Linked DNA regions of Alligator mississippiensis. Each later gene encodes a partner of the first gene's protein in a complex. Links are inferred from orthologs where the notes say so. Each region holds a gene or a part of one and is shown in the gene's direction. Other genes may lie near its edges.

Region 1 (7,795 bases):
TTGAACCATCTTTCAGCTGAACCCTGAAGGATTAGGAAAAAGGAATCCTAGGAAATGTAAGGCTTGCTTCTGTAGGGGCAAGGAGCTTTGAGGCCATTGTTAGGAAATTAAAATTTCATTGTGTGCCCCCCAAGTTCTAGTATTGTGAAAGACAATAAATAGTAAGTTCCTATTTACTTTCTCCATGCTGTTCATGGTTTTATAGACCTTTATCACCACCCGCTCAGTCATCTTTTCTCTGTCTTGCCTGTTTAGTCTCTCTTTAGTCTCTCCTTATGCAGAAGCTTCTCTAAGCTACTGATCATCCTTCCTGTCCTTTTCTGTATGTACCTTTCTACTTCTAGGATATCCTTTTGGAGGCAGGGGTACCAGAATAGCATGCAGTATTCACGAATGTGGGCATACCAGAGATTTCTACAGTGACATTTTTTGGTTTGTTTTGGATCCGTTCCTTAATAATTCCCAACATTCTTCTGCTTGCCTTTTTGACTGGGCTGTTTTCAGAGAACTATCCACAGTAATTCCAAGATCTCTTTCCTAAGTATTAACAGCTAATATAGAGCCCCTCATCCTGTATGTGCATCTCAGGTTATTTTTCCCCAGGTGCATCACTTTGCACTTATCAGCATTGATGTCCGTGGCTCTAGGGAAGCATGAAGCAGTTGTAATCAAGGGCAAACCTCCGACTGACTTCACTAGGACAACACCAGGCCTTAAATGTCTAGATGACAGTGCTGTTATTCTTCAGCCAATAGCTCGCACCTATAATTGACAAAGGAAAGCCCTTCTCAGCTGCTTACTACAGTGCAATCATGATTGCACTCAGCTGAGTGAATAAAAAAAGTTCAGTAAAAGAGTCTGTAATTTAAAACCTTGTAGTTTATTTCTCTTGACTTAACAACAGTTTTCACACAACAAGATAAAAAATAGAAACTAACATTCAGCTTCAGCTCTCAGCTACTGGCCTCTGAGATTCTTCCTCCATGGAACTGAATATTGGAATGGAAAACAGAACGTTAGGAGTTTAAATTAGGAATTAATGACAATTCTTCTTACCTTGTTGCCCCTTTTAATTTAGTTTCCATGGAAACAGGACTGGAAAGGCTGCCTGTAGCAAGTCACTAAGAGGAAAAAAAGTCTGCCTTGTCTCTTTTAGCTCTCAAGTACCAGCTGAGCCAGTGAAATTACTAGATTTTTAAATGTTTTCCTTTTTTTTTTTTAACTCTGACTAAGAGTCATGATTTCTTGCTGGACAAGTCTCAGGTTGGACAATTATGTTGGCTACAAGTGTATTTCAGTGATTCAGATTTATATTCCTCTTTTCTAATTAGTAGTTTTATGGTGTATGGCCTGCGGGCCAAATCTGGCGCATGGAGAAATTTATTTAGCCCATAGGGCTGGGCAGCTTTGGTGTCATTTTGATGGTGAGGGTCTTTGCCAGGGTGGTGTGGAGAAGCAGCAGCAGCAGCACCACCACCACATGGGGAATGGGACTGTAGCTATGGTTGTGTGGACTGAGTCAGAAGCCGCTCAAGCTTGGAGTTAAGTTTGGTTAAGATGTCCCCCTGCTGCCAACGTTCCTGACCCCTGGTGTAAGCAACATTTATTAGAATTAATGGCACAAGGTTATCTAAAATTTTATGTGTGTTGAAAAAAATATATCCATCCCCTTTTTTATTTTTTAGGTAGGGACAGGCTTGGTTTGAGTATATGGACTGAGCTAAAACTGTAAGTAAGGAGAACCGGCTCCACCATTCATTCATTTATGTAGTCTTGGAAAATCATATTGGGCTCCAATCTTGCAAGGTACAAGCTCCTCTTACAAACACCTTACTAGTTATAAATTGCTTGTTGTATCACAGTCCCTGATGTTCTGTTCTCTCCTTTAAAATGGAGGAGTCTATCGGGCCAATCCTGCACGATACAGAGCTCTGTTTGAGTGCTGAACACCCTTGATTCTCATTGGCTTTATACAGAAGCATCCACACAAAGGTTTAGACCAGAATAAGTCAAATAGTAAAATACAAATTAGTTCCAGTTTTCAGGTGAATAAATACTTGAAGTCACTTGCAGAATTGTAATGTTTGGGCACCATACTCTGCAGGGACTATTTCTTTGGTAAATACACTTGTCACATTTTGTCTTAATTCAGGGAAACATCTCTCTCATGTTCCAGTGAAAACTTCTAGTAATCGAATCTAAATTTGGGGCTAAAACTGAAAGGGCAGTGCAAGCTTCATTCTAGTCACTTGGCCAGATTGTGTAGACACATGCAGTGATAATGTTACGGTGGTGCACTAGTTCCAGCCCAAGTTCCAGACAGTATGAGAGAACCAGGATTTGTTCTGTAATAGCCTTGATTGTGCCAACTGTATAGTTGGGAGAGATGGTATGTATGCTTTTGGGCACAATATGCCCTTCCTCAAATCATAGGCATTTTGTGCCTTAGAGTTTATCTCGTACTTCTCCTAACTCCCTGGTGCTCAACCTCTGGCCAGATAAGGCCCACAGATACGTTGTTAGGCCTGGCTGCCCTGTGGCCCCCTGCCTGATCTGTCACTTGGATTTTGGATGCCCTGCTCTGACCTGTGGGTCTCTTAATGGTTCCAGAAATTTGGCAGGGAGAGTGTGGTGGCAGCATTAATCGCTGCTTCCCTGTCTCCATTCCTGGAGCTGTAGGGGAGTCCTGTGGTCCAGATAGCGGGGCCCAGTGTATCGGTGCATGGGGGTCACTCTGTGGCTGGATCTGGAGTGTGAAGTCGCTGTCATGCCAGGCAATGGGCAGCCAGGTCTGAGGGTCACCTCAGGCTCAGGAAAAGCCAGAAACTAGATCTGTCCAGGGAACGGAGCTGGGGATCCAGAGAGTCAGGCAGAGCACAAGGACAGGAAGCTAGCTGGGTCAGATGCCTGGGAGGTCAGGCCAGACTTGGGTCTGGTATTGGGGAAGCCAGGAAGAGAGCAAGGGCATGAAGCCGGTTAGGCATCCAGGAGTTCAGGCCAGAGCAGACTAGACTAGACTATCCCCTAGATCAGGGTTGTCAACCAGGGATATGCATACCCCCAGGGGTACCTGAGATGGCCCTAGGGGGTATACATGGGCATGCGGAGATGGAGCACTGCCATGCACCATCCTGCACTGCCTTGCAGGCACCACTTGCCTGGCGACACATGGGGGACAGAGGAAGCTCGCATGTGACGGCTACTGCCGCTCTGTGTCCGGCCGTGCGCCACCCCCACCCCCCTGCTTCCTGTCCAGCTGTGTGCCACCCCCCCCGCCCCACCCCTTGTCCAGCCTCACACCTCCACACCCCACCCATCTCCACACCCAGCCGCCAGGGTACACTGTGGGGCTGTGCGAAGCTTCGGGCGCTGATTCAATTCGGAGGAGATTCGGCTCGATTCAGCAGCCAAATCTCCAAATCCAAACTGAATCCCCCATCCCCAGCCTGCTCCCCCAGCCCTCCTGACCCCTGCCTGCTCCCCCAGCCCCCCCATGGCTTCCCTGCCTGCCCCAGCTCCTGGCCCTTTAAAGAAAAGCCCTAGTGCTCACGGGGTGCTGCCGGGCAAAGGGGCAATCCCCGCTGCCCCCCACTGCCCCACTCTGTATGGGGGGCCGTGCCATGAGCCCCCCCCCAACCCTCCCCGCTCCCCCAGCCCCGCCATGGACACCCCACCAGGCACAGCTCCAGCCCATTAAGAAAAAAAAATGAGAAAAGTCCTGGGACTCTCCGCTCCTACAACGGCCTCTGGGCTTTGGAGGGCTTGTGGAAGAGCCCCCCACGTGGCACGGGGTGCAGTGGGGATCACCCCCCTGCCCAACAGCACCCACTGAGTTGGGGCTTTTTTGTTTCAAGTGCCAGGAGCTGGGGCAGGTGGAGCAGCCATTGCTGGGCTGGGAGAGTGGGCGGCGGATGGGCCTGGCTGATTTAGAGATTCGGCCGAATAGATTCAGGGCAGCGATTTGAATTACCAAATCGAATCACTGTCCCCCAAATTGGCCGAATCCAAATCCGAAGCAAATACTAGCCGCTTTCTTTGCATAGGCCTAGTACACTGCTTGATGTCCAGCCACCAGGGCTACACTGATCAAAACCACTGAAAACCCCTGCCTTAGATCAATGGTTCTCAACCTTTTTTTGTACCAGGACCTATTTGTAAACATTGATGGCCAGTCCTGACCCTGTGCCCCTCACTCCCAACCCACTGCCCCCCCCCAACCCCAGCCCCCCCAGTGTGTGGGGAAGGGGGGCCCCAAGCAGTCCCTTGCAGGCTGGAGCTCTGCCAGCCTGCAAGGGGAAACCCTGCTTCCCAGGCTTTTCTCCTTTCAAAGACAATCCATTTTTAAAGTTTGTTCACAGCCTTCATATATTCTTGCGACCCACTTCGAGGTCATGACTCAGGGGTTGACTGTTCTCACTCGTGACAGGTGACAGAACGAGGGGCAATGGTCTTAAATTGCAGCAAGGGAGGTTTAGGTTGGATATTAGGAAAAACTTGTCTGCCTGTGTCCTTGTCCCAACACCAGAGCCCATCGCCGTGCGGAACAGTGGCTCACAGGGAAAGGGCAGCCCATTCTAGCGGAGCAGAGCAAAGGCCGCCCTCATCCCCTGTGCGGCTTCTGGGTGGGGGCTGGGGGCGGGGCATCAGGACGCACAAGTCCCCTGGCCCCGCCCCGTCTTACGTCACGGCGCCCCCCTGCAGTCACGGCCGGGGAATCCCCGGGAGACTCCTTCCCCCACCCCTCCCCGCTCCACTTTGCTGCAGGCACGGAAAGTTTGGCCGGCGCGGGCCGCCGTAGTCCGGTGAAGTTCCTTCCGGGGTTGCAGACAGCAGCCCTCGCGCGCGTGCGCAGCAGCGGCGGCGGCGTCTCGAGTTTGTCCCGCGCGTCCCCTGCCCCCCCCAGTCGCCGCCGCCATGAGCGACAAGGGGGAGCTGGACCTGACCGGGGCCAAGCAGAACACGGGCATGTGGCTGGTCAAGGTGAGAACCAGCGGGGGCTCTCAGGGCCACTGCGATCCCGGTTCCGGTCCCTGTCCCTGCCCCTGCCCCATCAGCCGCTCGACTTTCGGCTGCCCTGCCTGCTCCCCCTTCCCTCCCCTTTTCCCGATCGGCTGCTCGGCTTTCTCCGCTGGGCTTTTGCCTGGTCTTCTTTGGCCCAATCCGTGCCTCCCGCTGACCCATCGACCGCTCGGCTTTCGGCTGCTTTGTCCTGCCCTGCGTCCCCCGCCCGATCCGCTGCTCTGTCCCTGCCTCGTGTTCCCCTTCCCTGATCTGTTGCTCGACTTTCGGCTGTTCTGCCCTGGCGGTCCCCCAGTCCCGTCTCGTTCCCCCCCTCCCCCTCCCCGCGATCAGACACTCAGTTTTCGGCTACTCTGCCTTGCCCTGTGTCCTCCTGTCTGGATCCTGGTTTTCTCTGATTGAAAAAACAATCCCCATTTTTTGGATTTAAAGTAACCCAAAATCCACTTTTTTCCCTGATTAGCATGAACCATCACTATGTTTGTGTGTGCATATAAATAAAGGTATAGAAATATCCAGAGAGAGAGAGAGAGATCCATATAGATATATGGATATAAGTGATGCTTCATTTTAATTATGAAAAAATGTGGATTTTTTTGTGTTACATTTTTAATTCCAAAAATTGGGGATTTGTTTTAAATCGGAGAAAACGAGGATCCCTGCTGATCAGCCACTTGGCTTTCAGTGCGCTGCCTGGCACCCCCTGCCCCCTCCCCTGATCTGCCTGTGTCCTTTGTGTTGCACCCCCACCACCCGCTTTGATGGTGCTGAGCTATGGTAGATGTGCTGCAGCCTTGTAATCTTAAAACTTTTTTTAGGCAAGTCAACCTTAGGGAGCTCGTCATTTTTACCAGTGCTGTTTTACACAGGCTAGAACAGCGTTTCTCAACCCATGGGTTGCGACTCAGAAGTGGATCTCAATAATATATGAAAGGGTCATGGGCACACTTTAAAAATAGATACTTCTTTAAAGGAGAAAAACATGGCAAATGGTGGCTTTTCTGTTGCAGGCTGGCAATTTCCTCAAATATCACCTCCTGCTCCACACACTGTGGGGCTGGGACCTGGAGACAGAGGTAGTGGGCCGATAGTGAGGGGCCCTGGGCTGGGACTGGCCATTGATATGTGTTTAAAAATGAGTCCTGCTACAAAAAAGGCTGAGAACCACCTGGCTAGAAGGTGGCATGATGGTCAAAACACACAAGTCCTGTTACATTTTCTACTATTGCTGAATTGGATGTGAATTACAGAGCTAGCATTTGCTAAAATCGAGGAACTGTAGCAGTGAGCACCTGGCTTTGTCTTAGGTGTGCTTAGTGTTTGAACTGTATATGAAACTCGGAGGGAAGACTTCTGTAACTAATTTCCCCCACATAAGAATCACAAAGTTAGATGGTATCTAATGATGTTTTGGCAAACACCTGTCACACTAAGCTAAAAGAGTCTCTGGAAATAAGACAATGCTTTCATAGTTGGTAGGTCTGGAAGGGACCTGAGCAGATCATCAAGTCTGACCCCCTGCTATGGGCGGGAAAGGATCCTGGAGTCAAATGACCCCAGCAAGGTGTCTAGCCTCCTTTTAAAGACCCCCAGGTTAGAAGCAAGCACCACTTCCATTGGAAGTTGGTTCCACATTGTAGCTGTCCTGACTGTGAAGTTGTGCCTCCTGATATCTAGCCTGAATCTACTCTCTGTCAACTTATGGCTGTTATTCCTTGTTACTCCCAGTAATGCTCAGGGGAACAGGGACTCTCCCATTGCCTGCTGGTCTCCCTTGGCCAGTTTATAGATGGCCACCAGATCTCCTCTCAGCCTTCTCTTGTGGAGGCTGAACAGGTTCAGGTCTCGTAGCCTCTCCTCATAGGGCCTGCCCTGCTGCACCCCGATCATGTGAGTGGCCTTCCTCTGGACCCTCTTGATGCTGTCCATATCCCTCCTGAAGTGCGGCGCCCAGAACTTAACGCAGTACTCCAACTGTGGCCTGACCAATGTCATATAGAGGAGGAGGATCACCTCCTTGGACCTGGTCGTGATATATCTGTGGATGCATGACAAGGCGCAGTTAGGCTTCCTGACTGCATCCCTACATTGGCAACCCATGTTCATCTTGGAGTCTATAGTGACTTCAAGATCCTTCTCTGCCTCTGTGCTGACAAGAAGGGAATTCCCCAGCATGTAGGTATGCTGTTGGTTCTTTCTCCCTAGGTGCAGTACCCTGCACTTGGGATTCAATACTGACATCTTATTCCGATCTGCCCACCTCTGCAACCTGTTCAGATCCAGTTGCAGCCTGTCCCTCCCTTCTAGCGTGCCCTCTTCTTCCCACATCTTAGTGTCATCTGCAAATTTGAACAAGGTGCTTTTCACCCCCTTGTCCAAGTTGCTGATGAAGATGTTGAACAGTGCGGGCCCAAGGACTGAGCCCCGGGGTACCCCATTGCCCACATCCCTCCATGTCGAAAATGACCTATCCACCACCACTCTCTGGGTGCGGCCTTCCAGCCAATTGGTGACCCATTTGACTGTGTAGGCATCAACATCACAATCTCCTAATTTTTTAACAAGAATGGGGTGAGAGACAGTGTCGAACGCCTTCCTAAAGTCCAGAAATACTACGTCCACCATGACACCTGCATCCAAGGATTTTGTGACCTGGTCATAGAAGGCCACCAGGTTGGTCTGACAGGACCTGCCTCTAATGAACCCATGTTGGTTGCCCCTAAGCATACACTCCCCTGCTTGCCTCTCGCAGATGTACACCTGGATAATATTCTCA
Region 2 (7,398 bases), on another chromosome or scaffold:
AATCACTGTACTTGGGATTAGTATGAACTGTGGGGATTTTTGCCTTCCTCCAAAGTAGGGGGCATAGCCCTCTACCTGGGACATCCTGAGTGTATATACAACATTTCATAGAAGCAGGACAGTGGCTGCAATGCTTCAACTGCTTTATGTGTGGCAGGTTAGAGTGCTAGGTCTATGTTGTGTCAGGGCTGACAGCAGCTTTATATAGAGTTTAGATGATGGCTTGTATGGGATGTGATAGAAAACCATGATCCTGCCTCAGGCAGGGCAGTTGAAGTAGATGACCTCTGGAGGTCCCTTCCAGCCCTACTTCTCCATGACTATGACTTGCATGACTATACTTCCCCATGTTGAAACCAGAACACCTGGGTGAGATTTTACTAGTGTTCAGGGGAGTTCAATTACATATGCAAAAACATATAAGAAAAATACACAATATAGTGACATGCTCTTAATATGACTTTAAAGAGACTGAATGGATTTGACTTCATAAGTTAGCCAATACAGTAGCTTCCCCCTTACAAACAGCATAAACAGTGAAAGTATGCACTTACAATAAAGTGGTTACTGATGTTTTCCTTGTCTTGCTGTCCTTCAGGGTGTGAAGTTGCTTGTTGCCACCTTTATTTCTCTGATGATGCTATCTTTTAGAGGGCCTGCTTGTCTTTCAGCAGCTTGTCACAGAACACAGTACAATCCAGATCAAAATTAATTCACATAGCCTTCATGGTAGAGACATGCAGATGTGATTTTTCAGGAGACCACACATTGTTCATTCTAGAAAACACACATTGAACGGGGGGCGGTTGTGCCCAGGAAACGCAACACGAATTCCACAGCCTTAGCTAGATCTGCATATTGTACTATCTTGCTGTCCATCTCTTGAAAAATGCACAGCCACCTTTCAGCAATGGGAATTCACTGATGGTTGCAGTCAGAAAGATGATGAGATGATTGATTTTGCACTGGCTCACTTAAAAGGGCAATTCTCATCCAACATACTTAAGGTAGGAATTCTAGTGTGGCATGTAGCGAAGCTGTCTTATATTTCATCCCACACTGGCATATTGCTTGACAGGGCCCACTCAAGCTTTTTGGCACGCTCAAAAGCAGGTTTCCAGTACTCCAAGTAAGACAGGCATTGTAAAATTCTGCATTGTAAAATTCTTCTTCCTTCATTTGCTGACAATCTACAAGAGACTGCAGTAGGCTCTTTGCTTTTGTTGGGACAAATTGTTGTCTAAGTCTCTCTGCTAAGTTATCCCACAGGGAATGTATCTGCAAAGCAACTTCTGTCACTGACACATCATTTTTCTTAATTGCCTCTATGTTCTTCTGAAACATGGCTGTTTGTTTACTGGCAAAGGCAAGCTACAATTTAGTGCTAGGGTCATTGAAGACTTCTTTTAACAGTGTCAGCCATTTCTCTTGAGAAAGGAAACATGCTTTAAGCCCATAGAAAATCAACAAAATTCTATCCAGCACTGGTCCCAGTGACAAGATTTGTGTGCTGCTGTGCTGTAGTCATTTAAAATACTCAAGACTGACAAATTGGCAGAAGTCTTTCAGCTCTTCAACTCTTAGTTTGGCTTGGAGTTTTTGCCACAAATTGTTTTTTCCAGGATGTCTGGCACCACCAAAGTTAGTGTTGGTATTGTCTGCACAAATTCCAACGAGCTTTGCACCAAGAGAGTACTTCTCAATCACTTGCTAGAGAAATGCCCGCTGCACATCAGATGTTTCACCCAGTAGAAAACTCAATTATTATTTTTGTGTTGACTCCCCTAATTGGAAGAAAAAAGCATACGAGAACAGGAAACAGCTTTTGCTCCTTTTTGTTCGATGCATCCACATTAAGCATAATAAATGAGCACTTCTCCAAATCACGATGCACTTCTTCTGTTGATAAAAGAGCTAATACATTGCAAATTATTGCCTTGGATTTTGTGTGAGCAGATGAAAACTTAGGTTGGTAGAGTTTCTTAATGTGATGTAGTCACTTGACCCAAAAAGGTGTCCATGACACAGAGTGGTAAGCAAACAGTCCCTCACTGGCAAAAATGTGACTAACAAAAAGCCAATCACATTTTTTGTTTTGCTTAACAAAAATAAAAAAAAAAAAATCTGAAATGCTTGGAGTTGCATACTTAGTACTTTTGGCCTGTTTTTTTGTTTGAAGGTGCTGAGTAATGTCACAGCAGCTGCCACAAGTCTTGCAATTAAAGAATTTTTTTTGAAAAAATCTTGTTGGTCTAATAAAATGTATCACCTCTACCATGAACCCAGATTGCTTTCTCCACAAGTCTGTCATACAACTTGGCTGATTTTGTAGGTCCTCCTTACAGGAACAGACATGTTTGTGACATTTTATAGCAAACACTACTGATAACTTCTGTAACCTCATGTGTTGCAGCTGACCATGCATTGTATGTGCACCTCATGTGGGTAGATCCCAGAGCTGCCGCCGTGCGCTGCCATCACCTATTGTAAATCAAACCAAGTGGTAAAATGTTGGGATGTTATTGTGAAATGGAGGGAAGGAAAAAAATGCAATTACATCTCTTTTATATGTAATGCCATGTGAAAAATGCTTTACTGAATATGCAATACTTCAGCTGGCAAAAGAAAACGGGACAAATAGCCAATTAAAAAAAAGTGGGGACACCTGGGATAGGGCTCAAATAGGGGACTGTCCTAGCAAAAAGGGGATGTACGATTACCTCGACCAGGGCTCTTCCTGCCAGCTTCAAGTTGTGGTCGCTTGTTCTTGTCTTGTGAGAGCCAATAATGACTCCCCACTGATTTTCTCTTTGCCATGTAGTTTTGTGAACCCAAGTCCCCCACTAACTGCTGGGATCTTCCCTCTGCCTGGGCCCTGCTGGCCTCCAGGGGGGAGCCTCTTCCCCTGCTTCCCTGCTGCAGCCCTGGGGCCTAAGGGCAGGCACCCCAGGACTGCATGCATGTAACAGTGCAGCTCCTCCGCAGCTGGGGTTGCCAACCCTCCCGGATTGGGCAGGACCCTGCGGGAATCAGCCGGGTGACTACTGAAAGCAATCCAGTCAAAGGGCCACGGGGTGAGCCCCTACTAGGCTCAATACGGCCGGGCGCTACATTGCCCGGCGCCGTCGTGGAACGCTAAGTCGCCGCCGCGTTGACGCGATCAGACGCGTCACCAGTCGCGCGCGCCAGCCCAGCCGCGCTCAGCCCCCAGCGGACATATCCACCGAGGCGCCCCGCACCGCGCACTTCCGCCTCTCTAGGTGTCATGGCGGCCGCGCCGCCCGTTTCCCTCCCTCGCACGTGACCGCGCGGGGGCCGTGCTCCGGCGCCAGCTCTCGCGAGAGCTGCCCCCCTCCCGCGCCCCCGCGCTCCCCGGCCGCTCGCGCAGCTGCTCGGCTCTCGCTATATAAAGGGGCAAAGCGGGCAGAGCGGCGGCTGGCGGCGGCGGCTGCAGCCCGGGGCCGGGAGTAGAGGCCGGGCCAGGCTAGGCCGCGGCGCCGCCCGGGAGCCAGGGCTGTGCTGGGCATTAAGGGGGCGGCACCGGCGCCGGGCACGTCTCTCGCTTCACGGGGGCGACCGCGGCCGCGGTGGGGGCGCCCGGGGGGCGCGGGACATGGCGAGCGCGGCCAACACAAACCCCGTGGTAAGCACCGGGGGGGCCGGGCCGGGGCGGGTGGCGGGCTCGGGGCCTTCTTCTCGTCCTCCTCCTTCTCCCTCTCCCGCCCGCCGCCCCACGAGCCCGCCCGGCCCGGCCCCGGCCCCAGTCGGCTTCCCGTGGGCGGCGGCTGCTTGGGAGCGCCCGTCGGTTTGCAACAAGCAGTCACACACCCCCGGCCCCGCGCCCCCTGCCCCAACGCACCGCTCCGGCCCGGCCCCGGCCGCGGCCCCTTGTTTGCGCCCGTCTCGGCCGATCCATCATGGCTCCCGCCGGCCTGGCTGCTCCCCCGCCTTGTGTTCCTCCTCCCTGCGGCGGCCCGGGTTATATAGAGCTATTGCCGCTCTCTAATATAGACTCTGCCAGGATGGGAAGGTGCTTTCCAGCCCCACGTCACCGCCTCTCCATTTAAACACCGCGGCAGCCTTTAAATAGGGAGAGAGAGAGCGCCGCCGAGAGCGGCGGGCGGGCGGGGAGCTGCGCGCAGCCCACAGCGGCCGGGGGAGGCGCCGGCTCCGGCTCCGGCTCTTTGTCACTCGCCGCTGCCCGAGCGGCCCCGCTCCGCTCCGCTCTCGGCGGCGGGGTTTTCTCTCCCGCCGCGTGGCCAGGCCGCTACGGGCTTCCCCCTGGAGCGGGAGCGAGGCCGAGGCAGAGGCAGCGCGGTCGGAGGGTCTTTGTTGCAGGGGGGATGGAGCTGCTGGGGCAGGCGGCAGGGGAAGGCTCCTGCGGGGGGAGGTGGTGGCGCGGCTGCAGGTATTTGACTGCTGCCTGGGAAAAGGCGAAGCGCTTGAGACTCTTTTCCCAGCTCTTCTGCCTTCCATGATAGCAGCGGTTCGTGCCCTGCTCGCAGCAGCAGCGCTAGAGGCGGGGAAAGGAGGGAGACCTGGATTGTTTGGCGTTCTAAATCCCACGGAGCGGGTTAGCTTTTTAGGGCATTGGTGTTTCTAGAATGGTAAAGCTGTTATTTGGTGTTATATCTATTTCTTTCTCTCTGCCTCCTCTGCATGCCCCCCCCCCCCCCCCCACACACGCACACTGATCTGAGAAGGTGATCAGTCCAGTAAATGCATTCAGTCAGGGTGTAAAATATCAGCTAAATCTTAAGAGCACCAAGTAGGATCCCATGAATAAATATAAGGAAAACAAAAATGAAGGTAGTATGCCTGTATTTTCTCTTCTGTTGTAGAGCAGGTTTGTAAAGATCTAAGAGAAAAGGCCTTCACTCTGAAGGATTTGCAAATAACTTTGTTGCAAAGCCCCAGTAACACTTGATTTCTCTGCTGTGCAAAGCTGGGCAGCTGTCTCCATCGCTTGGTACAGGTCTATCCTAAGAAAAGTCCTGTTAGAAAATAAAGCTCCGTAATGTGTGATTCAGGTCACCCTGCCGGTTGGTGGGAGGTGAATGGCTCGGTTTCGTTTTTCAGCTGAGAGGTGGTTTGTTGGTGATGGTTATTCAGTCGGTAATGTTATCTTTTAGAGTGCAGATCTATAGCCAATAATAGAGCTGCACCTTTTAACATCATAATGATATTTTGAACAAAACCAAGTTAAAGAACATAGCCAGTTCATAAGCTGGACTTCTGTTCTAAATTACTTCAAAAAGCCTCTTAATGCTTTGGTGTCGTTAAATCATCATCAGTCAGTTTTCTTGCTCGTTATGAGCCAAATGATGTATTTTCATTTTTGGCTTGCATAAATAAGCAAGGACTCTGTAGCAAGTTGTTATAGCCAGTTTGTTTTAAAGGAGGTAGGATAGCTTGAAAACTAGTTGGCTTGCAGTCAGATGCACAAAATCAATACAACTATGTCTTTCAGTTACAGGAATCTGAGGGGTTGTTTGTAAGAGTAGCTGCATACAGATTTTTTTTGGGGGGTATCCTTTTAAAAAAAAAGGAATTTAAGAAATGTAATCTCAAAATGGCTTGCAGTACTTAAAATGACTTGGTGTGCATTCTTTGGATTCTGAAATATTTGAGCTCATGTAGCACACCATATTCAAATGAACTGCTGTAAGTGCAGAGGGAGGGAGAGATGGTCAGTTTTTTCTATGCTCAGCAGAGGGAGCACCAGTTAACAAACGTTTTGTATAAATATATGGTTATATAACCATGCACAAATAAGGAAATAAGAAAATTGTAAGTCTCATTAGATCAAGACAGACAAGCTATAGTCAGTGCTTGGAACAGAGCTTGCCAAACACCTGCAGATCTAATTTGACTGTGATACATTCACTTATGAACAGCTTAGGTTCGCTATTGATGTACCTTTTACAAGGCAAGTACTTTATTCATTCAGAATGGGTGAAACCATGATAATTTTAACTGGCGTCTTGTAAATTTCTGTAGAGAGTTTTTCTTTATTGCCTTGATTTCCCTGAAGCTTTGTCAGATGGTGTGTGACTTCACAATCTAGAAGTTAATGTGTAATTATTCCTGTAGCAGTAGTAATAATGGAACTGCCCTGGTGTGGCTGGTTGCTTTGGCAAACTGCTATGCAAAAACAGTCTTGGAAAAAAGGTGTTAAATTCAGAGGGAAAAAACGGTTTGCACTCATTTGGTCCTTAAAACCAGTTTTATACATACTAGTCAGCTTGTGCAGTTCAGTGCATCTCTTGAGAATGCTTGTGCCATTAATAGCTAGAATTAGGCCTAATGTACGTGCAGAGAAGAGGATGAGAGAGAGGAACAGATGGTCTTTACTTACAGTATTTGAAATGGAGAGGGAAAGAACTGTGGGGAGGGAACAGATTTCAGAAGTTACATTTCTATTACTTTTTGACTAGAACTCTTTCTACTGAATTTTCATGATCAAATAGGAAAACCTGGTTCAGGTCTGTTCAATAATACTTCTCTCAAAATTGGCTTCAAAGCGAGCAAGGAGTATATGGAAGGAATGTTTGTCACTTAAATCTGGGGGCTTGGTATACCTAAACTGAAGTTTGAATAACCTGTTGGTATTATACTTGCTAATTTTTACATGGAGTGAGGGACACAAATTAAGTTTGCCTGCTTTGCTTCTTTGTAAAGATTATACATTGAAGCTATCCTTTATACCCTGTTCTTTGGATTTGCATAGGCTAAATGGTATTGGAAAACAGCATCTTGTGATGTGTTTTAACTTCTCCCACAACTGTTCAACAAGTCATTGCTGTCCTTGGAGAGGACAGTTAAAGGGGATAGTGACTTTCCCCTTATGTACAACATAAACAGCCCATACCATTCTTTCTGAATAACCTGCATATTTAAGAACACATGTACTGGGCAGCTTGTGATTAATACAGAAGGGAAAAGTAATAGCTGACTCTTCATAAAGAAAAAAAACTTCTCATCATAAACAGATCAAACATGATAGAGCAGTGGTGTTAAAATGCAACTTTTGTAATCATGTAATTAATTCACCTAATACTTTAATTTCTGAAGAACTTGCATTCTTTGATAAGACTAGCTACTCATTTTAAATCAGATAATTTGGACCCCAGGCCTGCAAATGATTATGCACACATTTAATTTGAGGCATGTGAGTAGTACCTTTAGTGACCAGACCCAAACAGGGTAGTATTTTTGGTTAGCTTTAAATTACTACAGCCTCAGTTATGAAATAAAAATATCAATGGCTCCTTTGCTCCGGAACTAGTTCATATGTATATACTATGTAGCTTGTTAGCTTTCAGCTTGCAATTCAGTATATTCACTTTACAAAGGAACCTTTGTTCTTGTTTTATTAGAACAGTGGCTCTCAACCAG
Region 3 (7,921 bases), about 270 Mb from region 1:
TATCATGTGGAGTGCCCCAGGGGTTGGTCCTAGGGCCGGTTTTGTTCAGTATCTTCATCAGTGACCTGGATGATGGGATCAAGGGCGACTTCAGCAATCTTACAGATGACACCAAACGGGGGAGTGGAAGATACATTGGAGGGTAGGGCTAGGATTTAGAGAGAACTTGAGAAATTGGAGGACTAAGCCAAAAGAAAACTCATGAGGTTCAGTAACGGCAGGTACAAAGTTCTGCACTTAGAATAATCCTACGCACTGGTACAGGCTGGGGACTAACTGGCTAAGCGGCAGCTCTGCAGAAAAGGACTTGAGGGCTATAGCAGACAATAAGCTGAATATGAGCCAACAGTGTGCCCTTGTTACAAAAAAAGCTAACAGCATAATGGGCTGCATTGGTAGGAGTGTTGCCAGTAGATTGAGGAAAGTGAGTAGTCCGTTCTATTGGGCACTTGTGAGACCACATCTGGAGTAGTGTGTCCAGTTTTGGGCCCCCCACTACAGAAAGGATGTAGACAAATTGGAGAGCCCAGTGGAGGGCAAAAAATAAAAAACAGTGAGGAGGCTGGGGCACATGACTTATAAGGACAGGCTGAGGGAACTGGGCTTATTTAGTCTGGAAAAGACTGATGGGGGATTTAATACCAGCCTTCAACTACCTAAAGGGTAGCTCCAAAGAGGATAGAGCTAGATTATTCTCAGTAGTGGCAGATGACAGAACAAACAGCAATGGTCTCAAGTTTCAGCAAGGAAAGTTTAGGTGAGATGTTAGGAAAAACTCTCTCACAAGGAGGGTAGCAAAGCACTGGAACAGATTATCCAGAGACATGGTGGAGTCTCCATCCTTGAAGGTTTTGAAGACTTGGCTAGACAAAGCCTTGGCTAGGATGATATAAGTGAGGATGGTCCTGCTTTGAGCAGGGAATTGGAGCAGATGACCTTCTGAGATCCCTTCCAACTCTAACTTTTTATGATACTATGAATACTAGCATGCATGGTAATTATGTCTAGGACAGTGGTTCCCAACCTTTTCTATACAGCAGACCAGCGGGGGTGGGATGGGACGCATGGAGCTGGCTGCCTCCCTCCCAGGCTTCCCCGTTGCCGAGCTTTATCCCTGCACGTGACTGCCAGCAGAAGCCACTTGCCTGGGTAGACAAATGGGAGTCACGACTCGGCAGCCAATCCTTCGCAGCCCAGTACCGGGCCACAGTCCAGTGGTTGGGAACCTCTGATCTAGGACATACTTTTCCAGGTTACTTACAAGACTGGCATGTAGGACTGAAGTCCAAATATTTACAATCACCATTTTTACCTTATGATCCAAATCAAGTTATCCTGTAAAAGGAGCAAAGATTTGGCATGATTTGCTCTTAACAAATCCATGTCATCTGTCAGTGATCAATATGTGCATAAAACAGTCAACCTGTTAGTAACTTCCTTGGCACTGATGTCAGGCTGACTGATCTTATACCTTGCTGGGTCCTTCTCTTTCCCCTTTTAAAAATGGGTAGTACAGTATGTAAGCCTTACCAGTTGTCTGGGACCTTGCCTGCCATCCATGATCTTCATCTATTATTGCCTGTAGCTCTGAGATTTTTTTCAGTGAGATCCTTCAGTACCCTTGGTTGAATACTGCACAGCCTCCTGACTTAAATTCAGATTAGTCAAAAATTCTCTACTATATTATTTGCTTAACATGACCGGCATCCTTCCTGTTCATTTATTATATTAATTCTGCTATTTTTTCTTTGGGTTGGTTGTTTTTGGAGTGGGGGTTTTTTGTTTGTTTTTTCTCTTGTGAAGGCATTGGACAGTTCCACCTTCTTTGAAATTTCCATTAATAGTTTACATTCTTTGAGTAATAGACCCACAGGCTTCTTGGTCTCTCTTTTTTAGTTTTTCCTTGTCTGATGTATGTGTAGAAATCTCTCTTGTTGTCTTTAACATTTCTTGCCAGTTGTTGGAAACCTTTGGCGATTTTTTGCCTTCACTTTTCCCATGTTTGTCATTATCTGTCCACCTCTACAGATGCATGCTTTTCTTCCCATTGCTGGTATGCATCAGTTTAGATCTACCATGGCAGCCAATGCAGCAACATTGGTCTCTTATGGTGCTTGTTATCTTCTTTTTTCATGGGAATAGTCTGATGCTGAGACTATTAAAATTATGTCCTTTTTCTTTTAATTTGCCTATTCATTGTAGCTTACCTACTATTTCTAAAACATGGTTCAAATGAACCTTTTGGAAGTCCAGCATCCTTATTTTGCTGCTCTCCTTCCTTCCTTTCTTTAAAATAATTCTATGGTATCAGGATCACTTCCTCCAAAGACGACTAAAACAGATTTGGTGCTACTGTAGACAGCTTGCTAGCAATGGTTACTATTTCAGCAACATGATGCACTTCTTACCACCCATCTTCCTCCACAAAGGGACACAACACAAGGAAAAATGCTGACCATGTCAATAACTGGTCCCTTTGAGGGACTTTTGCTTTCCATTTTCTTTTGTTTAAAATAAATAAAGAAAAAGCAGCACCCAAACCAAAGACAGTTTCTTCACCTTCCTTCATACATTCATAATAACCAAAGGCTTAAAACACACTACTTGAGCAGTTAAGAAAAAATATGCACTGCAGCATGAAAGCAGTTGCCTTTCCTTTCATCTCTAGAGAACCGTTTCAGTTAATGGTCCAATCCTAACTTCAGAAAGTTTTTTTTTTTATACACCACTTAATCACAGAGTGTAGTTGCAGCAAGCACAGTGGATCTGTGACTGTGTGACAGAAGCCACTACAATTCCCTACACTGCTCACATGGTCCATTTGGAAACACAAAGACAAAGCAACTAGTGTTTCTCTGCAATTAATGGTCTTTGGATTGGGCCCCTGAGGAGCAACACTGCATGGAAATCCAGGAGGACGGGAATGGGTTGGTTAATCTGGACAGGAGACCAGGTCTGCCTCCACCTGCAAGAAGCATTGTTAGCATGCTGAATTTTTGGTTGTAGTTGTGTAGGTCTAAGGACATAGGCACATAAGGTTTTTTGAGTAGATGTGATATCTTTTATTAGACCAACTGAGTAGTTGGAAAAAAGTTCTTAGAAAGCATTTGGGGGCAATCACCCTTCTTAAGGCATATGATTTTCTAGTTCTTAGCTAGTCTGAAAGCTTGCTAAAAACTTTTTTCGAACTACTCGGTCTAATAAAAGATAACACATCTACTCAAAAGAACCTTGCCTTGTTAACATACTGCATTTTTTCCACCAGTGGATTCAGACAGCGGTTAAAATTTAGGGTGTCTCGTGTCGTTATCCTGACCTCGTACTCTCCAGAGCAGTCGAGGACCATGCCAGCCTTCCACTGACATCGGGGACCTGGAAATGACAGCACCACACAAGCGGCACAGGGCTACATTCATCTCAGGCTGAACTTGCTCACAAGGCAGCAGCCCAAAAGAGGAGGAGCGCCCTGTCCGCTCTGACTTCTGAAGTGTCTAAGGGGATTTAAAAAGCCCAAGCCAGGCCTCTTCGTACTTTTACAAGGAATCCATAACATGTTGAAAGCTAACATGTTTTCTCCCCTACAACGCATTGTGAGGTTTGACCTAGAAACTACTATGCAAAGCCCAAGCAAAAGTGAATGTTATGTGACGAATGCCCATCTGCAATGATAAGGAGGAGACAGTCTTAGATAAAGGAGGCTTGAAAACAAAAGCAGAATCAGAGTACTGGGTCAAAGAGCTCATTAAAATACTAAAAATCACACCCCTAGGTGGGGAAGAGGTATGCTAATGAAACATACATGTACGTTAATGAGATACATAGCTAAAACACAGGTATAGAGACATGCTCAGTAAAGAACTCCTTGCGTCACTCCTTTATAGCCAATTAGCAAACAAGGATGCTTATGAAGGTCTAAAATCCCTGTATAAAAGGGGCTTAGAATTAGAAATCTGGTGTGCTTGTTCTGTGAAATTATTCCGCTTGCACCTTTTATTGCTAGCAATAAATCTTGTTTATACTTTCACCCCTGGTATCTTTATTGGCCTTTGCATACCGGGCACAATCCCAGACTTGAGCTGGGGCTCAACAGCATCTCTTCTCCTGCAAAAATCAGCCCCTCAAAATTGGGGCACGTGTATTTAGCAGGTAAAGTGACTTTTCTGTTTGGTGTAAAAGCACCCCGCTTCGCCTGCAGCTCCATCACCATGCCAGTACTCCTCCTTTTCCAACAGCTGAGGGCCATTGGCTCCAATGGCTCATTGCTTTTCACTCCACAGGGATTACCAGCTGTTTGACGCTCCACTAATCAAGGGCAAGGTTTCTGCCTGCTCCTGGGCTCGCCTCCTATTTCAGCCTGGAGTCGAGCAGGAAAACAAAGGGGGGGGCCCAGTCAGCCCAAGACTGCAAACTATATATTTTGCTCCCGTTCAAGATGCCTTCCCAAAGCAAAGGGCTGCTTATATACTGGGCGCATGTAGTATGAGGAAATACAGCAGGAAGCAGGGCGAGTATACGCAGCGGTTTACAAACTCAAACGGCCGCAGAACGCTGGGGACACGTGACGCAAAGCTACGCGCCGGGAGGGGGAGGGGCCTCGCGCAGGCAGAGAAAATCGTCACTCACGGAAGAGTCCATTCTCGGCGATGGGGTGGGGCGGGTTTCATCCCTAAAGGGGGGCTTGGAAACCCTGGGCTTTGCCCAGACTCCTCCCCCTCCCCTCAGGCTCCGCCCTCCAGCCGCGCCCGCGCCTTACCTGACCCGCAAGCCGCAGCAGCATCCCTGAGCACGGCCTTCCTTCCAGCCTTACTTCCGGCAGGTCAACGTGTTCGATGACGTCATCAGAGCGTCTCTGCGAACCCGGGCTGAGCGCGGAGGAAGTGGGTGGGGAGAGGGAGGGCGTTGAGGTTGCGCATGCGCATGGGTTGCACGGGAAGTTTGCTTTCTGTTTAGGAACCGGGCGCCGGAGGCGGCGGCCGGGGTTCTACTGTCGTCGGCGGAACCAACGGCCGGTAGGTGGGGGAGGGGCAGAGCGAGGCTCCCCAACCGCCACCCGTCACGTGGTGGGCGCGGGGGGAGGGGCGCGCGGCGCCGGTCCTGCTTCTCAGGCGCGGAGGGGCCTGGTCCTCTTGGCGACACAGGGGTTTAAGTACACACGTGTGTACAGCCCCAAAAGTAGACACGCGTTCAAGCCACATGCAGACATGCGCGTGCACACTGCTGCGTTTCCTCATGCCTAAGCAGATGCACTGGCACATGCATATCTGCAGCCATATGTGTAGACAGATACATGCGTGCATTCAGGCATGAGTATAGCTGTATGTACAGGCCGGCCCATGCATGTCAAAGCACATGTATAGACACACGCACATGTGCATTTGTATATGCATGTGTACAGAGACGATCTGAGCAGGGTGCGGGGCACAGGGCAAATCAGGCTTTGCGGGGCTCTGCCTCCAGACGCGAGAAAGCGGGTAGCAGATTCCGGGGGAGGGGGTGCCAAGCGGCCGGACATGAAGCCAGCGTTAGTGCGGAGTTGCCGTGGCCACTCCTCCCTGCTCTGCGGGGCCCAGGGTGGTTTCCCCAATTTGTCCCCTACTAGGGACGGCCCTGCATGTGTATAGACAGATATGTGCACACATACAGGTGTACATCCTCGTGTATATACAGGCACACATACATGCAGGGCTGTCCCTAGTGGGGAGCGAATCGGGGCAATTGCCCCGAGCCCTGTGCTTTGGGGTACCCTGCGGAGCCGGGCAGAGCGGCCATGTGAAGCCGGCGACAGCGTGGAATCAGCATCTAGCCACTTGGTACCACGCCCCCTCCTCCACCGCCAAATCCGCTGTCGGCTTCCTGGTGTCTGGGGGCAGGGCCCTGCACCTATCTTGAGTCATTTCTGCGCACGCGTGCATGTATATATCCACAAGCACAGATATACATGCGTAAGTGTACATTCACAAACACAGACGCACAACGTCTATTTTCTTGAACAGGGACCAGAACATCCCGCCTACCAGAGGTAGGGACAGTCTTGGGGATAGCTCTGTCAGGCCTTCAGTCAGTGCAGACGTAGTTAGGGATCTTCTGGAAGGGCTAGACATTTTAAAATCTGCAGGTCCAGATGCCTTCCACCCAAGGGTGTTGAGGGAGCTGGCAGGGGTCATCACGGAGCCCTTGGCCTGGCTGTATGAGCGTTTGTGGTCATCTGGTCAGGTGCCGGGGGATTGGAAACTGGCTAATGTGGTCCCGATTTTCAAGAAAGGGAGGAAGGAGGACCCAAGTAACTATAGGCCTGTAAGCCTCACCTTGGTGCTCGGGAAGATCTTGGAGAGAATCATCCAGGAGCACATCTGTGGGGGCCCTGCAGGCGAGATCATGCTCAGGGGCAATCAGCATGGGTTCATCAAAGGCAGGTCCTGCCTGACCAACCCGATTGCCTTTTATGACCAAGTAACGAAATCCTTGGATGATGGTGTCGCCGTGGACGTAGTCTTTCTAGACTTTAAGAAGGCCTTTGACACTGTCTCTCACCCCATCCTCATCAATAAATTAAGTGACTGTGGCATTGATGCCTGCACAGTTGGATGGGTACAAAATTGGCTGATGGGGTGGACCTAGAGAGTAGTGGTGAATGGGTCGTACTCAACCTGGCGAGATGTGAGCAGTGGGGTACCCCAGGGTTGGTCCTTGGGCCGGCACTGTTTAACATCTTCATCAGCAACTTAGGTGAGGGGGTGGAAAGCACGCTGTCCAAATTTGCTGATGACACTAAGATGTGGGGTGAGGTGGACACACTTGAAGGGAGAGAGAGGCTGCAACTAGATTTAGACAGACTATGAAAGTGTGAAGATGAGAATAGGATGGGGTTCAACGTAGACAAATGGAGGGTGCTGCACCTTGGGAGAAGGAATCCACAGCATACATACAGGCCATTGCCAGACCGCAGCCAACAAGGCCAGACCGCAGCCAGCAAGGCCAGCCATACCTTGTCATGCATCCAAAGGTGCATCTCAAGCCAGTCCAGAGAGGTGATAGTCCCCCTCTATGCAACTTTGGTCAGGCTGCAGTTGGAGTACTGCGTCCAGTACTGGGCGCCGCACTTCAAAAGGGATGTGGAGAGGGTTCAGAGGAGGGCCACCCACTTGGTGAGAGAGCAGCAGGGCAGGCCCTATGAGGAGAGACTGAAGGACCTGAACTTGTTCAGCCTTAGCAAGAGGATACTGAGGGGAGACCTAGTGGCTGCCTACAAGCTCATCAGGGGAGATCAACAGCAAATAGGCAGACCACTTTTCTCTCCAGCACCACCTGGGGTGACAAGGAACAATGGTATTAAGCTGATGGAGAATAGGTTTAGGTTAGAGATCAGAAGGCAATATTTTACAGTTAGGGTGGCCAAAATCTGGAACCAACTTCCCAGGGAAGTGGTCCTCGCCCCTACCTTGGGCAAATTCAAGAGGAGGTTGGATGATCACCTGTCTGGGGTCTTGTGAACCCAGCATTCATTCCTGCCTGTGGCAGGGGGTCAGGCTAGATGATCTGTTCAGGTCCCTCCTGACCCTAGCTACTATGAAACTATGAATGTATGTATACATCCTCAGATAAATACACACACGCGCATATGTATCTATTCACAGGCAGACAGACATGCATGCACACACTTATTTAGCTTCTAGTGATGGGTGTCATTTGTGCCCTAAAGCTTGTGCCACATCTCTCCTACCTGTCCTGTTGGGGTACTAAAAGAGATCACCAAAAATTGCCACCACCCCGGCTTTTCCCATCTTTACTGAGCATCATTGTGGCTCCAGCAAGGCTCCAGCCCTTTTTTGGTTCTGGCAGTTCTCAGCCAACAGCGTGAGCTGGATTTAATTTAGTTAGGTCTTTGCTTGCTTTTTGTGTGTATGGTTTATCTCAGGATGGT
Region 4 (6,895 bases), on another chromosome or scaffold:
CCTCAGGGAGGGCTGGAATCTGAACTACAAGGTCCCCCCCAGTCTGCTCTCACGGCCTCACCTGCAATCTCGAACGTGTTGGCGAAGAGGATGATTGCTTTGGTGCGCTGGGTGCGGTCCGACCAGAGCCCGAAGAGGGGCCCTGCCAGCAGGCCAGTGAGGCTGAAGGCAGAAATCCCCAGGCCCAGGAAGTACGGCTCCGCATGGAGAGTCTGCAGGTAGGCCCAGATGGTTGGCAGGATCACCGCTGGCAGGCAAGGAAGACAGACAGACAGTCAGAGACAGCCCCAGGCTGAGTCCTACCAGGACACCCCACACCGATACTGAGCCTGATCCTGGATCATCTCAGCACAACGCCAGGCCACCCAGCTCCTGACCACCACCCCCCAAACTGGCATGGGCTGACCAGTGACAAGGACAGCAAAGGCCATCTGGGTCCCTGAGACTCACCATCTGGGGGTCCCACCCTGCCCACCTCAGCTGATCCAGCCATTGGGGCAGCTGGATGGCTTCTCCTGATGCCTGGCACAGCAAGGCGAAGCATCAGCCATGCAGACAGACCCTCCGCAGCCACAGCGAGCTCTCCTAGTCCTTCCCTCTCCCCCAGGAGACAGCACTGGCTTCCCAGAGACATGGGGACCCCCGCAATGCCCCTGCCTGCTCAGAGCCTCCCCTCTCAGGCTGCACCTGGCTAGTCCATCATATCCTGGCATATCCTGAGGCATTTGGTCAGCAGTAAGAGTAGGAAAGGACAGCACGTTTTGCATAGGACATGCTATTAGAGCAGCCATGGCCAGGTCGCTTCCCCTGCAAAGGCAGCACAGCTAGAAAGCTCCACAAAGCTCTGTACAGCTAGCGGCAGATCCCCCCAGCCTGCCTTGGACTGCCCCCTGCGCTGCCCCACACCCTCCCATTCCTGAAAGCACAGGTTATCTCGACCGGCCAACTCCAGATGTCCCCGGCAGGCAGCCGAGAGGTAGCCCTGCCCCACGGCTCAGGGACTGCTCTCTGATCACCTGCAAGGGAGCTCTGGAGTTTCAGGTCCAGGACCAAGAAAGCAGAAAGGCCCCCAAGTCACCCTGGGCACCAAGAGCAGGGCCAGGGCAGGTCTCTGGTGTCAGGCAGGGAGGCCCCATGGCCAGTTTCTCCCTCCAGGCTCAGCTCGCCCCTGCCTGCTTTCCCCCAAGGGACAGAGGTGCTGCAACACTGTCGCCCGCCCCCGCCTGCTCACCCTTGCCCTACTTCCCTCTGTAACGACGGAGCTGGCTGCTCAAAGAGAGATCTGCCTGGCTCAAAGTCTTTTTGCTGCCCTTGGAGGCCTCCTCTCTACGAGCTGGCAGCGCATGCAGCTCCCCACCCCCTGCTCATTTTGGGAGGACTCAGCACCCTCCCGCCCACGCACCAGGGCTGGCTCTGTGGCCCTATCCAACATAAACCAAGGACTGACTAACCCCTGGGCCTCAGTTTCCCACATTCCCGGAGAACGGGAGAGCAGGGACTGCAAAGCGGTAGCTCAAGGGGGGACAGAGCATGCTTGGATCATGGAGAAAGAAAAGGCAAAGTTGGGACGTGGAAGACATTGGAGATGACCCCATGCCTCGGTGAAAAGGGAAGCTGCTGTAAATTAGTGGGGGGGGAATCTCAGTCCAGACCCTACTGTTCTTAGGCAGGTGACATCCAGGAGAATACAGAAGGGAGACAGACCAAGAAGTGGGGTTCATGGAGATGAGGGGTTCTTGGGGCTCACTCAACAGAGGAAACCCCAAGAGGGCAAGGAGGGTAGAGCGAAGACCTAGAAGGGTCACCAAAGACTAGTGGCAGGAATGGGTTGAGCGGAGAGGTGAGTTTGGACAGGGCCCAGCTGGGCACTGGGCCAGCAGGAGTGGAGCTGACTCATGCTGGAGGAGATCAGGGCTGATGGGAGAAGCTGGGAAGACGAGCGACATTTATGAACACCCCGCAGTGTTCCCAGCTGTGGGACATGAGCCATGGGTTTGGCCCGTATTTTTCCAGTCTGCACCTGGCCTGCGTAACCCCCGGGTACCTGGGACCCTTTTTTGCTTGAATGTCGGCGTGGGTGCCGACGTGATAGCACAAGGGGCACGGCTGGACACAGACCCCAGCCAGCACCTCCCAGCATGCTCTGAGCACAGACAGGCATGCCCAGGGGACGGGCATGGAGACAAGACGCCCAAGTCAGACTCCTGCACCTGCCGCTGAGCTGCAGGGAGAATCCGGCTGAGTCCCTGCCTCTCCCCATTTCCCCACACCTGGGCTCATTAGAGTGGGCCATCGGCTCTTGGAGGCAGGGGCTCATCTTAGTTGTGAGGCCATGCCCCAGACAGCAGCTGTGGAAAGGCAGCCCAACTCTGGGAGGAAGGGGTGAGGGCAACACCCCTGGGAAGCACAGAGGCACAAAGGGAAGTAAAAGGAAGGGTGAGAAACATCCGGGAACACGGAGCACTCCCACAGCTGCAGAGACCGAAGGAAGCGCAAGCTCAGACAAGGCAGAAAGCAGGTGAGAGGGTGCCAAGGCTGGGCCCTGCAGCCTGGGACCGGCACGCTGACTGACGTGCCTCAATCAAACCCTTGCCATGTCAAACACCACCTCCTCGTTAGACGCTCCCTGGCTCCGCTCCCCAGGGCACCAGTGGCTCACGTCACCGGACCGGTCAGCTCAGCTTGAAGCACCCAGCTGCCAAGGAAAGCTGCTTTGCCAGGTGCAGTGCGGTGGGGTGAGGCCCCGTAACAACAGACCTTCTCGCCTGGCTGCCCTCACAAGCCAAATGGCCAATGCCAACTGCGCCTCCCCCCAGCCCGATTCTGCACGGGGAATCGGTTTATGTCGCGAAGCCGCGCAAGTGCCAGCACTTGCCACGTTCTCCCAGGTGGCGAGACAGGCAAGGGCAGGGGAATGACACTCGGCTCCGGCATCCACCCTTGGTCCTTGCTGCATTAACATTGCTGAGCCCTTGGCTGCTCCCAGCAGGGGGATGAACCCAGAGGACCCGAGGGAAGGACAACTTGGCAATCCACCACTTCTCCCGGCACTCAGACCCCAATCCCCGCTGGGTTTGAAGCCTCCTCCTAGAAGGAGGTAGGACTGCAGCGGTCGGGAGCTCCCGGACAGTCAACGCTCCTGCCCTGCTCCCCGCTGGGCTACCAGTTCCCCCAGCACTCGGAGATCCTTGGTGCGAAGAGCAGGAACGGGCTCCTCCCGGGCCTACCCGAGCTGCAGGCTCAGCTTGCACCTTGTAAAATATTAACCGAGGAAACAGCAAAGTCAGCTCCGCTCCCGCAAGGACAGGCCTGCGGGCTGGGCGCAGAACGCCGCAGACCCAGTGACCGCCGTGTCACAAGGGTGAAAACGCAGGAGGAGGAAGAATTATTTCAGGATCCAGGACCCAGCACCTCACGTGACCCGACAAGTCAAACAGTAGGTCTGAGAAGACCCCTTTTGGCCTTAAAAACATCCCTCGCTCCAGTCTGTAGACACCGGGGGGGAGCAGAGAGCCAGCTCGCACCCACCACCAGGGCTGGGGACCGTCCCGCGGGCCGGATCCTGCCCGGCCTCAGTGTGCCCGCCTGCGAAATGGGTCCAAGGGAAGCGGGAGCCGCGGGGCGGGGCCAGGCACTCACCGTACTCGATGCCCCCGGAGAGGAAGAGCAGCGCGATGGCGACGCTGGTCAGCTTCTTCCTCCGCGGGTCGGCCATGCACCCGCCCGGCTCAGCGCCCCATCCCGGGCCCGGCCGCGCGGAGCAGGGAGCCCGGGGTCCAGCCCCGGCACACGCATGCGCACACGGACTGCCAGCATGGAACGCCCTCCCGGAGTGGCCCTTCCGCCCCGAGCCTGCACTTCCGCCCCGCACGGATGAGGCACTTCCGGCGCGCCGGCCGGAAGCGGCAGTAGCAGCGCGTGTCGCCGCGGCGGGCGCCGGGCACGGGGGAGCGCGGCCGCTGCTATGGCCGGGATCTTGTTCGAGGACATTTTCGATGTGAAGGACATCGACCCCGAGGGCAAGAAGTTCGACCGCGGTAAGCAGGGCCGGGACAGCCTCCCCCGCCCCCCCCTTGTTGTGCCCAAGCCACGCCCCCTTCATCCCAGGCCCCGCCCCCCCGGGCCTTGACCCCCGCTCTGCCCGCAGTGTCCCGCCTGCACTGCGAGAGCGAGTCCTTCAAGATGGACCTGATCCTGGACGTCAACATCCAGATCTACCCCGTGGACCTGGGTAGGTGGCGGGGCGGGGCCGGGCGGGCGGGGAAGGGTTCACCCCCCACCCCAGGCCCGCGCGCCCCCGGCCCGGCGCTGACCCCGCGGGTTGCAGGTGACAAGTTCCGCCTGGTCATCGCCAGCACCTTGTACGAGGACGGGACGCTGGACGACGGCGAGTACAACCCCACGGACGACCGGCCCTCCAGGTAGGGGCGCGGGCGCGCCCGTGTCTGCAGCCTGGCTTTGTTTCAACCCCTGCCTTGTGTATTTACGACGCTCCTCCCTGCCGCGTCCGACCGGGTCCCCGCCTGTTCTCGGTCTCCCTCCTCGCCGGGGCTCCGTGTCGAGGGCGCAGATACATCGGTGATGTATCAGATCGGCGGCGATTAACGTTATCGGCGGTTGGCTTTTTTTGGCCGGCATAGCCGATAACGTCACCGACTAAATGCCGCGCGCATGCAAGCAGCCTCAGCCTGCGCTCGGCCAGGAGCGCGGCCCTGCACTGTGGAGAGCAGCGTCTGGCTGGTGAGTCAGTGGGAGGGAAGGGGTGTGGGGGCAGATCGAGGCCCCCGCGGTGAGGGAGGGAGTGGGGCGGGGCAGGTGCTGCACAGCCGGGGCAGTGAATGGGCCCCCCAGGTGAGTTGCAGGGTGGAGCTGTGTCTGGGGAGGAGGCAGCTTCTCTGCTGTGTGTACTCCTGGGAGAGGTAACCTACCCCAGGGGCCCATTCACCACCCTGGCCAGGCAGCACCTGCCCCTTCCCCAGTCCCACGTCCTCCCTCACTGTGGTGGGCCTTGATCTGCCTGCCCATCCCCCACCTCCCCGCCCCCCAGGCTTACAGGCCGGATGCTGCTCTCCAAGTTGCCAGGCTGTATATTGGCTATCAGATTGGTGTTGGCCCATATGGCTGGTTAATAAGTGGCCATCCGTATTAGCCAAAAAAATCCCCTAGCTCCGTGGTGTTGGATGGGAGCCTGTCACCAAATGAAAAAAAGAGGCAGACAGCTTCAGCCTGCAGCGCTGATCAGCTGCATGAGGGTGGAAGGATGACTGGGGGCGTTCAGTGTTAGCTGGCAGGGGTTTAGCCTGGAGGGGGGTTGTGTTGGGCAGGAGGGTTGGGTCCAGGGTCATGCCGATTCCTCCAGCCTTGCTGTCTTGCTCTCACAGGGCTGACCAGTTTGAGTATGTGATGTATGGGAAGGTGTACAGGATTGAGGGAGACGAGACGTCTACGGAGGCTGCCACGCGACTGTAAGTGTCTCCCCTGTGCTGCTTCCCTGTCATTCATTGGGAATTTGGTCCTTCGTGGATGCCAAGGGGTGGGGGGTGGTCCATGTCCTGTCTGGGTGCCAGATTGGCAGCTTGGGGGTAGGAACACCTGATTCTGCTAGCAGTCTGTGCTGAGCTGCCCAGTACGCTGGTCTCGTGTGGGACTGCTTCCCTGAGGGGCTGGCTGGAGTCTGCCCTGGCAGCCAGCTCCCTCAGCCCCGTGATGAGCCAGTGCTGCTGCCTCTTAGCTAGGCTTCTAGAGCTTGGGGCTATGGTCAGCCTCCCCCGAGTTCCTACCCTGCTCTCATCCTTCCCCTCCACCCTAGCTCTGCCTACGTGTCCTATGGAGGGCTGCTCATGCGTCTCCAGGGAGATGCCAACAACCTGCATGGCTTCGAAGTGGACTCCAGGGTGTACCTCCTCATGAAGAAACTGGCCTTCTAAGGGGCGGGAGCTGAGGGTCTGCAGGAGGCAGCAGGGACCCTGCCTGACAGGCTGTCTGGACAGACATGGACTTGCCAGCAACCTCTCTGATCCGTGCCTCAGGAGTTTGGCTCCTTCACCCCTCATCTGCGTGGGCCTGAACCCTGCCATGCATTCCAGTCTGTGCAGCCAGCCCAGAGGCCTGCACTGCTCACATCTCTGCTGGGTTGCCATCCAGGCCAGGAGACTGCTTCTCTGCCGAGCAGGCTGAGACCTCAGCTCATGCCCCAGTCTCTGAAGAACTGCCCTTTGTAGGGGCTGGTCACACGCAGGTGAGCTCCTAGGTCCCTGCCTGCAGGTGCCGGTCATTGGAGGACTTGCCTATGGCACATGCTCTCCTCGGCCAGCTGGGAGGCTACATCCTTGCCCCGTGGCTCCACTGCAGGCTGCAGTACAGCCTATGCCACCCACCTAGGCAGGCCATGTGCTGTATTGGCGAGGAGGGCAGCAGCTCCTGAGCCCATCCCCTCTGGTTCGCTATTAAACTTGTTTTTCAGATTTGTCCTGGCTTTTGCCTCCCACAGAATTCCACAAGGTGTGAAGTAGGTAAGCAATGGGACTGAGCGCATTGGGGAATGATAGCCATGGCCTAATGAAGGACTGAACCCCTGCAAGCCCTGGGCTGGGGACTCTCAGGCCCTGCACTGTTCAGCTCCTGTCCCTGTTGACGTGATCAGCTGTGAAATCATTAGCAGCCCCTCCGTTTTGCCCAGTGCGTTCTCCTTTCCGAGCTCTAGTTCTAGGCTACCTGTGGGCCCTGGCGGGTGCTTCCATGTTGTGTGCACAGGTGGAGACATCACTGCTCTCTCTTCACTATAACAGGCCGGAGGCTCAGTTCTGTCTGAGTGGACTGGAATTGTGCTGTTACCTCCACCAGGGCTTCCCAGTCACAGCAGGAGGGTATCCAAGACACCCACTTCCTGAAAGGA

What was found.
Region 2: GTF2F2 (region 1) and GTF2A1 share a complex: the UniProt entries of both Homo sapiens proteins name them as parts of the TBP-based Pol II pre-initiation complex. The link is inferred for Alligator mississippiensis from reciprocal best matches to the Homo sapiens genes GTF2F2 and GTF2A1.
Region 3: GTF2F2 (region 1) and GTF2H5 share a complex: the UniProt entries of both Homo sapiens proteins name them as parts of the TBP-based Pol II pre-initiation complex. The link is inferred for Alligator mississippiensis from reciprocal best matches to the Homo sapiens genes GTF2F2 and GTF2H5.
Region 4: GTF2F2 (region 1) and POLR2H share a complex: the UniProt entries of both Homo sapiens proteins name them as parts of the TBP-based Pol II pre-initiation complex. The link is inferred for Alligator mississippiensis from reciprocal best matches to the Homo sapiens genes GTF2F2 and POLR2H.

What each region holds. Positions count from the first base shown.
Region 1 is NC_081824.1:410,989,515-410,997,309, forward strand, and holds the start of GTF2F2 (general transcription factor IIF subunit 2), read left to right. Parts: upstream 1-4,777; 5' UTR 4,778-4,914; coding exon 4,915-4,980; intron 4,981-7,795. UniProt on the Homo sapiens protein: TFIIF is a general transcription initiation factor that binds to RNA polymerase II and helps to recruit it to the initiation complex in collaboration with TFIIB.
Region 2 is NC_081825.1:266,198,165-266,205,562, reverse strand, and holds the start of GTF2A1 (transcription initiation factor IIA subunit 1), read left to right. Parts: upstream 1-4,394; 5' UTR 4,395-4,474; coding exon 4,475-4,573; intron 4,574-4,584; exon of another isoform or gene 4,585-4,604; coding exon of another isoform or gene 4,605-4,607; intron 4,608-7,398. UniProt on the Homo sapiens protein: TFIIA is a component of the transcription machinery of RNA polymerase II and plays an important role in transcriptional activation. TFIIA in a complex with TBP mediates transcriptional activity.
Region 3 is NC_081824.1:136,363,219-136,371,139, forward strand, and holds the start of GTF2H5 (general transcription factor IIH subunit 5), read left to right. Parts: upstream 1-4,910; 5' UTR 4,911-5,009; intron 5,010-7,921. UniProt on the Homo sapiens protein: Component of the general transcription and DNA repair factor IIH (TFIIH) core complex, which is involved in general and transcription-coupled nucleotide excision repair (NER) of damaged DNA and, when complexed to CAK, in RNA transcription by RNA polymerase II.
Region 4 is NC_081830.1:83,504,547-83,511,441, forward strand, and holds POLR2H (DNA-directed RNA polymerases I, II, and III subunit RPABC3), read left to right. Parts: upstream 1-3,894; 5' UTR 3,895-3,964; coding exon 3,965-4,037; intron 4,038-4,147; coding exon 4,148-4,231; intron 4,232-4,327; coding exon 4,328-4,421; intron 4,422-5,381; coding exon 5,382-5,465; intron 5,466-5,809; coding exon 5,810-5,927; 3' UTR 5,928-6,467; downstream 6,468-6,895. Other genes in the region: major facilitator superfamily domain-containing protein 8, read right to left, coding at 62-247, 3,640-3,715. UniProt on the Homo sapiens protein: DNA-dependent RNA polymerase catalyzes the transcription of DNA into RNA using the four ribonucleoside triphosphates as substrates.